Linked DNA regions of Saccharomyces cerevisiae S288C. The gene in region 2 interacts genetically with the main gene of each other region. Each region holds a gene or a part of one and is shown on either strand. Other genes may lie near its edges. The genes, in order: CDC9, VAM3 and FAB1.

What was found.
Region 1: mutations in VAM3 (region 2) and CDC9 together harm fitness more than expected from each alone (negative genetic interaction), as found in Saccharomyces cerevisiae (2 studies listed by BioGRID).
Region 3: mutations in VAM3 (region 2) and FAB1 together harm fitness less than expected from each alone (positive genetic interaction), as found in Saccharomyces cerevisiae (2 studies listed by BioGRID).

What each region holds. Positions count from the first base shown.
Region 1 is NC_001136.10:165,421-169,178, reverse strand, and holds the start of CDC9 (DNA ligase (ATP) CDC9), read left to right. Parts: upstream 1-1,924; coding exon 1,925-3,758. Other genes in the region: ENT1 (epsin), read right to left, coding at 101-1,465. UniProt on the Saccharomyces cerevisiae protein: DNA ligase that seals nicks in double-stranded DNA during DNA replication, DNA recombination and DNA repair. The mitochondrial form is required for mitochondrial DNA maintenance but is non-essential while the nuclear form is essential for cell viability.
Region 2 is NC_001147.6:517,437-520,630, reverse strand, and holds VAM3 (SNAP receptor VAM3), read right to left. Parts: upstream 1,511-3,194; coding exon 659-1,510; downstream 1-658. Other genes in the region: YOR105W (uncharacterized protein), read right to left, coding at 2,110-2,436; PIN2 (Pin2p), read right to left, coding at 2,141-2,989. UniProt on the Saccharomyces cerevisiae protein: Required for vacuolar assembly. Provides the t-SNARE function in a late step of the vacuolar assembly. Required for homotypic vacuole membrane fusion, autophagy and fusion of biosynthetic transport vesicles with the vacuole.
Region 3 is NC_001138.5:182,501-186,258, forward strand, and holds the start of FAB1 (1-phosphatidylinositol-3-phosphate 5-kinase), read left to right. Parts: upstream 1-2,001; coding exon 2,002-3,758. Other genes in the region: IGD1 (Igd1p), read right to left, coding at 1-361; YFR018C (uncharacterized protein), read right to left, coding at 631-1,722. UniProt on the Saccharomyces cerevisiae protein: The PI(3,5)P2 regulatory complex regulates both the synthesis and turnover of phosphatidylinositol 3,5-bisphosphate (PtdIns(3,5)P2).

The DNA.
Region 1 (3,758 bases), on a different chromosome or scaffold from region 2:
ACGCGCTGTGAAATGATTAAATTACTTAGTCCATATATATTATGCGATGCGAGAAAATGCTCATCTGATTAGAAATGCGGACTGGAATGACAGAATCACTTCATAAATCAATTAGAGTATATCCCCGGTTATTTGAGCCATTATTTTGAGACTGCTGTTGAGACTGGTTACCAAAGCCATAGCCTGTTTGTGTTGGTACGACGCTAGTGCTTGGTAAACCTGTATACTGACTGTTCAAAAACGGATTGTGGTTTGGATCATCCGATACTTGCCTATATCCTGTTCCTTGAGAATTGATGAATGTTCCTGTCTTCGTATGTTGGGCAGGAATACGAGCCTCCCCTACATTTCCGAATGTATCAATACCTGTTCCTGTGGCTAGTAGCTCGTTTAGTTTACTATACTTGTCTGTCATTGATTGATTGCCTGTCCTGTTTTGAATCAATGGCTCTTGTTGTTTTTGTTGTTGCAGTTGCTGTGGAGAAGAAGCTGCTACTAGTTGGTTCCGTTTTGGTGAACTTGAGCTCTGTTCTGATTTGGCAAATGGATTGTTGGACATTGCCTGTTGCTGCTGTTGCATAGAAGCTAAGTACTGTTGTTCCTGTAGTTGTTGTTGTTGTTGAAACTGTGCTAGTTCTTCGGGTGTTATAGGATTCCCGAATACATCGTAGTACATTGGTTGTTGTTGCAACTGTTGTTGTTGCTGTTGTTGCTGTTGTTGCAATTGAAATTGTGCGTATTCCTCAGGAGTGATTGGGTTACCAAAAATATCATAATACATAGGTTGTTGCAATTGTTGTTGGCCTTGCTGTTGTTGCATTCTTTGTAAATCTTGCAATCTTTTTAGCTCCTCTTCTTCTTTGCTCAACTGCAAAGCTGTTTCATAATCCTCGTCCTGTTTTCTTCTTCTTTCGTCTTCTTCCGCCGTCAACCTGCTAGCACTAATGGCTCTTTGCAAATCATCGTCATTTTCATCACTGCGCCCAGTTCCCCTTCTTCTTCTTCCTTTCCTGTTTCTTCCCTTGATATTCATGTTCCTTTCCTCGTTCAGTCTTTCGTCATCAGATAGTAATGCAGTCAATTCTTTTGCTTTGACCCTAACGATTTGACCTTGATCTATGCCCTCATCGTCCTCGTGCCTGAACTCCTTCAATGTCTTGATGATGTATAAATTTTCTCTACACCAAAGAACACAATTCTCACTACCAAACCTGATCAAGTAATCTATTACTGTCAATGCCTTTGCGATATGCCTCCAGTATTTGCCCTTGTCGTTAAGTCTTTTGTCCAGCATATCCATGATTTCGAAGAAATCTGCGCTATCATATGATTTTTCAGCCAGCTCAATTAACGAGTCCTTGGACACTTGATGATTGTCGTTTGACGTTGCATTTCTTACCAGGACCTGGGTAGAAGAGTACCCTTTCACCAAATTCTTCGCAGATCTAACAAATTGTTTCGACATGATTGTTCTGCCTCTTGCTCCCTTTCCTTCTGATCCTGGCACTCATACGAACGGCTCTTTCTTCTACTTCTTAAAACTCCTATTTGTCATTGAAAGAAACTTTCATCATTACCCGGATGATTCTCTATACGTAGCCACAATTTCAGACAACCATACTTCCAAAATCAAGTACTTTGAACAACATAAGGCCCCACCAACCTTCCGTAAGACTTGCAATAGGAATTCGTACTGCAGCCGCTGGTTCTATTGCTGTTTAACTCTGTCATCTTTTTGCTCGCTTCGATGTGTTCCTCCACTTGAGATGGCTGATGGAATTTTTCACCTTAACGCGAAAACGCGTGAAAGTGAAATTTAGCTGCAATAAGCCATGCGTTTGCATCTCGCTGTACTTTGTTCAAAAATAAAAGTAATGATTTTGGAGGTTTAGAGCAGCTTTTAACGTCATTGTTCATCAATTACATGCGCAGATTACTGACCGGTTGCCTTCTTTCATCTGCACGTCCCTTGAAATCAAGATTGCCATTATTGATGTCATCCTCATTACCTTCCTCTGCCGGTAAGAAGCCTAAACAAGCCACTTTGGCTAGATTCTTCACTTCCATGAAAAATAAGCCAACAGAAGGTACTCCTTCTCCCAAAAAATCATCCAAACATATGCTGGAAGATAGAATGGATAATGTTAGTGGGGAAGAGGAATACGCGACCAAGAAATTGAAACAGACGGCTGTTACACATACTGTAGCAGCTCCAAGCTCCATGGGTAGCAATTTTTCTTCTATACCATCATCCGCTCCCTCTTCCGGTGTTGCTGATTCACCGCAACAATCTCAGAGGTTGGTAGGTGAAGTTGAAGACGCCTTGAGCTCAAATAATAATGATCACTATTCGTCTAATATCCCCTATTCTGAAGTTTGTGAGGTTTTTAACAAGATTGAGGCCATATCTTCCCGTTTAGAGATTATAAGAATCTGTTCTGATTTCTTTATTAAGATAATGAAGCAATCGTCTAAGAACTTAATACCTACAACATACCTTTTCATCAATAGATTGGGCCCTGACTACGAAGCAGGCTTGGAATTAGGCCTTGGAGAAAATCTTCTTATGAAAACCATAAGCGAAACTTGCGGGAAATCCATGAGCCAAATTAAACTTAAATACAAGGATATTGGGGATTTGGGTGAAATAGCAATGGGTGCGAGAAATGTCCAACCCACTATGTTTAAGCCCAAACCCTTGACCGTGGGTGAGGTCTTCAAAAATCTTAGAGCTATTGCTAAGACTCAGGGCAAAGATTCACAATTAAAAAAGATGAAGCTGATCAAGAGAATGCTTACTGCTTGCAAAGGTATAGAGGCTAAGTTTTTGATTAGATCCCTAGAGTCAAAATTGAGAATCGGTCTTGCTGAAAAGACTGTCTTAATATCCCTATCGAAGGCTCTTTTGCTCCATGATGAAAATAGGGAGGACTCTCCAGACAAAGATGTCCCCATGGATGTGTTAGAAAGTGCTCAACAAAAGATAAGAGACGCATTTTGTCAAGTACCCAACTATGAAATTGTTATAAACTCATGCCTGGAACACGGTATTATGAATTTAGATAAATATTGTACTCTAAGACCAGGAATTCCATTGAAACCCATGTTAGCCAAGCCTACCAAGGCAATTAATGAAGTATTGGATAGATTTCAAGGCGAAACTTTTACGTCAGAATACAAATACGATGGTGAAAGGGCTCAGGTGCATTTACTAAATGATGGTACAATGAGGATTTATTCCAGAAATGGCGAGAATATGACTGAGAGATATCCAGAAATTAACATAACGGATTTTATCCAGGATTTGGATACTACCAAAAATTTAATTCTAGACTGTGAGGCTGTTGCTTGGGACAAAGATCAGGGGAAAATTTTGCCTTTCCAGGTCTTAAGTACAAGGAAACGTAAAGACGTGGAGCTGAATGATGTTAAAGTTAAAGTCTGTCTCTTTGCATTTGATATACTTTGCTACAACGATGAAAGGCTGATTAATAAGTCACTAAAGGAAAGAAGAGAATACTTGACGAAGGTTACAAAAGTTGTCCCGGGAGAATTCCAATACGCGACTCAGATAACAACAAATAACCTTGATGAACTTCAAAAATTCCTTGATGAGTCCGTTAATCACTCATGCGAAGGTTTGATGGTCAAAATGTTGGAGGGCCCTGAATCCCATTATGAACCAAGTAAAAGGTCAAGAAACTGGTTGAAATTAAAAAAAGATTACTTGGAGGGGGTTGGAGATTCATTGGATCTCT
Region 2 (3,194 bases):
AATAACGTACACATCGAGGTAATTATGCATGATTTCTTTTTTTGCCGAGAAATTCTGCCATTTTTATTAATCCACGCTCTGTCCTTATCTTAGTGACAGGCAAGGATGTTCTGCAAAAGCGAAAATTGAAATAAGATAAATACTTCCGAGCCAGACACGTTCTTATGTTTATCAGGGCCCACAAGGTTCATTTAGAAGACAACGCATACAATGTTTTGTTTCTTGATAACGGTTGGCGGCCGTTAAGCAACAGTAAGGCAAATGACAGTTAACGGAAAATAACAGGGTTCTTACTTTTTACATACAGTAGCACAATCCTTTTTTTATTGGCAGTCGCTAGTAGAAATTCGTGGGGATTTACGGACTACTGAAAAAAGGTCAGTGTAGATCGTACAAAGTAGAAAAAGGAAAAAGGGCATATCGAGCCCTTGCATTTAAACTACGGAGTACAAAAAACACAGGTTGCGCACATGGGAAGTGCACTATCACTAGACATCAAAGGAAATTTTGAGTCAAAAAGAGCGGCTAAGAAACCCCCCTACCACAAAAGAATAAATGCAAAAAATAACTTATACACTCTTATACACTCTTGTTTTCGTAAATAGATAAGATTGGGTCTACCAGAAAGTCTGTGCTCAATGCGCGTTTAAGGAGATTACTAACTTAATACAGCAAGCAATACCACCATGCACACAACTATTATAATGATTAGGGTGACCTTACCGCATTTGTTACGGTCCCTCTGATGCTGGTCTGCTCTGGTTAATTGTTTGTTTGCATTCTGCATGTTATCATGTAAATGCGAGATATTCTCGTCTATGGTGGTTACTTGTTCTCCCTGTTCTTTCACTAATGAACCGAGCTGATGGAAAATAGCATTGACTTCTTGTACCGCCGTATGAATGCGTCCTATCTGTTGGGATCTTTCCTGGTGAATGATTGTTTGAAAATCTAGTTCTTCTTGGGACAATCCTTGCTGTTGTTGTTCTTGTTCTTCTTGCAGCTGTAATTGGTGTTGTCCTTCGTTATGCAGTAAAGGACTCTGCTCGTTTACTTTTATAGAAATATAACTAGACTCTGGATCTTGTCGCACGGCTTCAGTTCGCGGATGGATGTCTTTTCTTTCCTTAGATGTTCCTGGTGAAATAGGCGTTTTTAGAGGGAACAGACTCTTCCTTTGATTGTATGATTGTTGTAGGGATTGATACTTCGTTTTCAGGTTCTTGAAATCAGCAGACAACTTTCCATTTTGGTGAATGAGGATGTTGCTCTCAATTTTATCCCTTACACTGGTGCAGTTCGGTATTAACTCTGTTTCAATTTTGTATCTTAGTTCTTTGGAGTCCCGTTTGGAACCAATTTTGGTGCATTCCTTTTCCAGCACGCGGGATTGTTCAGCGAATGTCTCAATTAAATTGCTTAATTCCTTCGTTTTTTGATTTGTTGAGAATTGTGGTTCTTGCTGGGAGTTACCCTTTGAAGATTGTGCTTCGATGTCGAAAAAGGACATAATCTCAACTTTCTGCAGTGGATATTAGTTGGCCAATTTGTTAATGCTGATCCCGTGGTTTTTTATTGTTCTATTTTCCTTCCTTTAATCTCCTGGCTGCTTTCTTTACATCAAAATCAAAATTCACTACAAAAATGTATATAGAGTTTTTACTGCGCATCTCGCGAAAAAAAAAGTTGTGATGTGAAACTCGAATATGAGGCTGAACGAATATTATCATTTGATTATAATAAGTATTGACTTGTATGATCTTAGTTTTGCTCTTCCTGTGTCCTCGTCAGCACCTAGGTAAACTATATGTTACAAATAGATCACTTTTATCCTGAGGAAAACAACCTAATTTATTGTACATACTAACTGACCAAGAGGAAGTTCACCATTGACTGCCCTTATTTGCATTTTAAAAGTTGCGGTTTCTGGTGTTACCTGTTAGAAGGCACCTTTTTAGCAACCGGTACAAGGAAAAACTCGTTGGAAGATTTTTTTTTACTTTCCTTTCCGTAAACGCAAGCTCACAGTTATTCCTGAAGAAATTCCTAATTGGTTCTTGCAAAATCTACCAATGAATCCTCTTGATCTTAAAATGTCTGACTGATTATTCAAAAGAAGGGGGAATATATATTTACCTCATTAGTAATATCTATCGCTTTGGTTTGGTTTATATCCCTGATATGATTGATAATTTTCGGTTGGATATGGACTTCTATGATTAGAGGAGGGAGTATTGTAACTGTTTCCCTGGAGGTTATTATTGATGTTATTATTATCGTAATAATAGTTCTCGCCATAATCGCTGATGTCAAAAATTGGAGATTGTGAAGCAACATGAGCGTTGTTGCTACCAGTATTGGCCGCATTTTGGATAAACGAATTTCTAGCATCATATTGCGGCTGAGGGCTGCTACCTTCGAAATTTTCTTCTTCATACACTAGAGGGGCCACCCTACTAGGGCTGCGTCCTTCTTTATTTCTTTCCTTCTGTTGTTTTTTCCTTGTTTTCTCTTTTTGTTTTTCCAAATCGAAATCTTCCTCTAATTCATACACCTCATTACTGGGAGTTTTGACTTCGTCGTAAAATGTATCATTCTTCGCATCGTTTCTATAATACGCACTTTCAGGTTGTTGAATAGGCTGATAAATCACAGTAGAAGGAGGAGCCACGCCCATATTAACTCTACTAAAACCCTCATTTACCGGCATTGTATTGTTTCCATTTCTGTCATTAGAACAACGACAACACCAACAAATGAACTGACCTATTCCTGTTACCCCTTGCCTGAAACATGTCAGTAAGCCCCCAATCAACCAAATCACAAGAATACAGGCCAAAACAATACCAACAATCGCAATAATTTTACATGCTTTATTGTCCATGCAGGTGTCCCAGCTTCGGAAACTTTTTCCTGTACTTACTACACCATCTGTAAAGGACGATCTCGGAAATAGTGGTACTATTTCTTTCAACTTGCAAACGTTCATTACTGTGTATACGCTTGGGAGTCTTTGATTATATTTCTAGTATTTTCTTGAAACGGTTATTTTGCTAAAAATAAACAAGATAAAAAAAATCTAAAAAGTCACGACCGGGGGTGGTTATTCTTGATCTAAGTAGCAAATATGTAATATATTTGAAACTTTCTTGCGCCCCTTTAATTTTGAAGTTCTTCTAGGCTTTTATCCAGTT
Region 3 (3,758 bases), on a different chromosome or scaffold from region 2:
CGTGGCTCAGGTCAGAGTCGTTAGTGGTCCTGTATTGCATATTGTGGATAGTATTCTGGAAATCCATGGGTCCGCTACTCCTACGTTCGGCTCCCGGGGCGTGCTCCCCGATACTGCTTTCGCGTTCCCGGGCTTGTTCCCTGGAATTTAGTGCGTCCATATAATTGGTAGACCGCCGTCTAATCATGGGGACTGGCTTGTCTACGCTTTGAGCGGGAGCGCTTGGACCCGGGAGGTTGAATGTAGAAACACTAGGTGTTTCCTGTGCACAGGGCGGTTCGTCGATGTTGAGGAAGTCCTGTGATCTTTCAAATGTGGGTGACGTGCTCACTTGGGGCGTGTTCAAGTGGGGATCTGTCATGAGGGTGAGTGTATGCGTGTGTGTGTGTGTTGCGTAGATGTGTGATTTACTATGTGTTATGTAGCTGCTCTCATCGCTGCTGATAGTAGATCTCTCGCGCAAAAATTACTCAGGCAAACCTTTACTATACCTACATATATATATATATATATGTATATGTATGTGTGCAAGCTTTTCAGAGTGGTGCACTGACATTGACCGGGCCACTCATTCCACCCCACATCCCCCAGATCAGGGGGAGATGTTAACGAAAGGAAACAGGGGATTTATCACTGGTTACGGGAGCGTAGTGACTGTACTACAAATTCGCACACAAGCAGCGCCCAGTGACGAGTCTCCGCGGCGTCTAAGTGCCGGAAGTCATCATCCACGGTGTGCCATGTACTTGGGAATGGTAGCGGGATTGCATGTAATACGGGTACTCCGGCGGCCAGGAATGGCGTGTGGTCGTCTCCGATGACCGAATGCCCGAGCCCTAAAAATCGATAGTCCGTGGGGTCCAGATGTTTGCGTTGACGCGCGACTTCGGCGGCTAATGCCGATTCGCCGTTGATTTCATCTCCACGTCGAAATAACAAGTCATCCTCTATTCGATTGAGCAGCTGATATTCTTGATGTGTCTCTGCATAGTAGCTGGGCACTAGCGGCTCCTCTTCGCCACTTCCTAAAAGATCCAGAAGAAATAATAGGCGAATTCTTGTCATCGTGCCGTCAGCAAGCCATTGGGCGGCTAATCGGCGTGCTCCATAAATCGAGTCCTCGGGGCCCCACTCTTCAATGGCCTCCTCTCCATCAAAGAATACGATCTTTACACCCAAGGTAGAATTCGATACTACAGTGTTCGACTCTAAGTCATTGTACTCTTTCGTGCGCTCGTGGCACGCGATGTGCGTTAGGAACTGGGCCGTATATAGCAGCGCGGCACACGAGGCGGCACTGTCGATAGCGCCCACCATCCCCGTGGGCGCTATCTTGGTATCATAATGAGCAGCGAGCACTAAGTACTCGCTCGCATTGTTTTGTAATGTCATAACAAGGTTATTGAAGCGGTAACCGTTCTCCTCAAAGGCTTGCGTCTCAACGGCCCATTCTCCCGCCAGCGTATTGTTGAAGTGCTCGATGATGAAGCGCTGGATCTCGCGCGAGCCTTCCGATCCGGGTACGCGCGTTCTGTTAAAAGGCAACAGCAGGTTCTTGGTACTTTTGTTCCAACCGCTGTCTGGGTTGATAGCTTCGTTCAGATGCGCTGCATGGTACTGCTCATATGACAACTCCCACCCAGTTACCCTATGCACCTGAAATAGCACCAACAGGTACGCTAGACCAATTAGTCGCAAAGGCAATACGTACTTCATTCCCATGCTTACGACCTTTTCAGTCTTTTTATTTCTTTTCTGTTGACTCTCTCTAACTCTCCCTCTCCCCCTCTTCTTCCCATGAAATGTATCACAAGCCGTCTTATTCCTTTGCTTCTTATATTCTTATGTTCCTTCCTTCGTCTCGCCTCGAAGGCAACGCAAACGCAATGTACTTCTTGACGAACGCGAAAACCATATGGAAAGTAAATAAAGGGCCAAACAAAAAACTATTTCGAATAGCAAGGTAGCTTCCATCCTGTACATGCAAGACCGTCACACAGCATGTCATCGGAAGAACCCCATGCATCTATATCCTTTCCAGATGGCTCACATGTCCGGTCGTCCTCCACTGGTACTTCATCTGTGAACACAATCGATGCTACCTTATCCAGACCGAACTATATTAAGAAACCGTCCCTGCACATTATGTCGACATCTACGACGTCGACTACGACGGATCTAGTGACAAACCCAATTCTGAGCAATATCTCCGTGCCAAAAATAAGCCCCCCCACATCATCCTCGATAGCAACAGCGACATCAACAAGTCACGTGACCGGCACTGCGTCGCATTCGAACATTAAAGCTAATGCTAACACTAGTACCAGCGTGAATAAGAAAAATTTGCCGCCAACAACTAGTGGGAGGATACCCTCTAGCACCATCAAGAGATATCCGAGTCGCTATAAGCCTTCTCACTCGCTGCAGCTGCCCATTAAGAACGACTCCAACTTTAAACGATCTAGCATATATGCCTCCAAATCCACTGTTACTGCTATCCCCATTAGGAACAATCGGCCAATTTCCATGCAGAATTCCTATGCGCGCACTCCTGACAGCGATCATGACGACGTTGGCGATGAAGTGTCTTCGATAAAGAGTGCCTCTTCTTCGTTGACCGCATCCCTGTCCAAGAGTTTCCTGTTCGCATTTTATAACAACCGCAAGAAGGACAAGACCAGTAACAATGGTGTCCTCTCAAAGGAATATTGGATGAAGGACGAGAGTTCTAAAGAATGTTTCAGTTGTGGTAAAACGTTTAACACTTTCAGAAGGAAACACCACTGCAGGATATGCGGCCAAATTTTTTGCAGCAGTTGCACTCTCTTGATAGATGGTGATCGATTCGGCTGTCATGCCAAGATGCGAGTATGTTACAATTGTTATGAGCATGCAGACACATACGAGGACTCCAGTGATGAAGAGAATGATTCTACAATGCAATTGAATGAGCCAAGGTCTCGCTCTCGCTCTCGTTCTTCCAATACCAATCCATATTCTCATTCACATTCGCATTTGCATCTCATTTCACAGGACAACCATAACGGTACCGATCTCCATGATCCAGTAGCAGCAACGGATAACCCTCAACAGCAGAATGAGGTCTACCTATTAAATGACGATGACGTACAAAGTATAATGACCTCAGGTGAAGATTCTAAATTGTTCATTTCTACACCCCCACCACCACCGAAGATGGCCATCCCAGCAACAAAGCAAGGCGGATCGCTGGAAATCTCATTCGATTCGGAAAACGATAGGGCTTTGCATTATCAAGATGACAACCCCGGTCGCCATCATCACCTCGATTCCGTGCCCACAAGGTACACTATCAGAGATATGGACAATATATCACATTACGATACCAACTCTAATTCCACTTTGAGGCCACATTATAACACCAATAACAGCACTATTACCATCAACAACCTCAACAACACTACTTCCAACAACAGCAACTATAACAATACCAATAGCAACAGCAACATCAATAATCCTGCGCATTCCTTAAGAAGGTCTATTTTCCATTATGTAAGCAGCAATAGTGTTAACAAGGACAGTAACAATAGCTCTGCAACACCCGCTTCGTCTGCACAGTCTTCTTCCATACTGGATCCTGCCAATCGTATTATCGGGAATTATGCTCATAGAAATTACAAGTTTAAATTCAACTACAATTCCAAAGGTCCTTCGCAACAAAATGACACGGCAAATGGAAATAATGATAATAATAATAATAATAATAATAATAATAATAA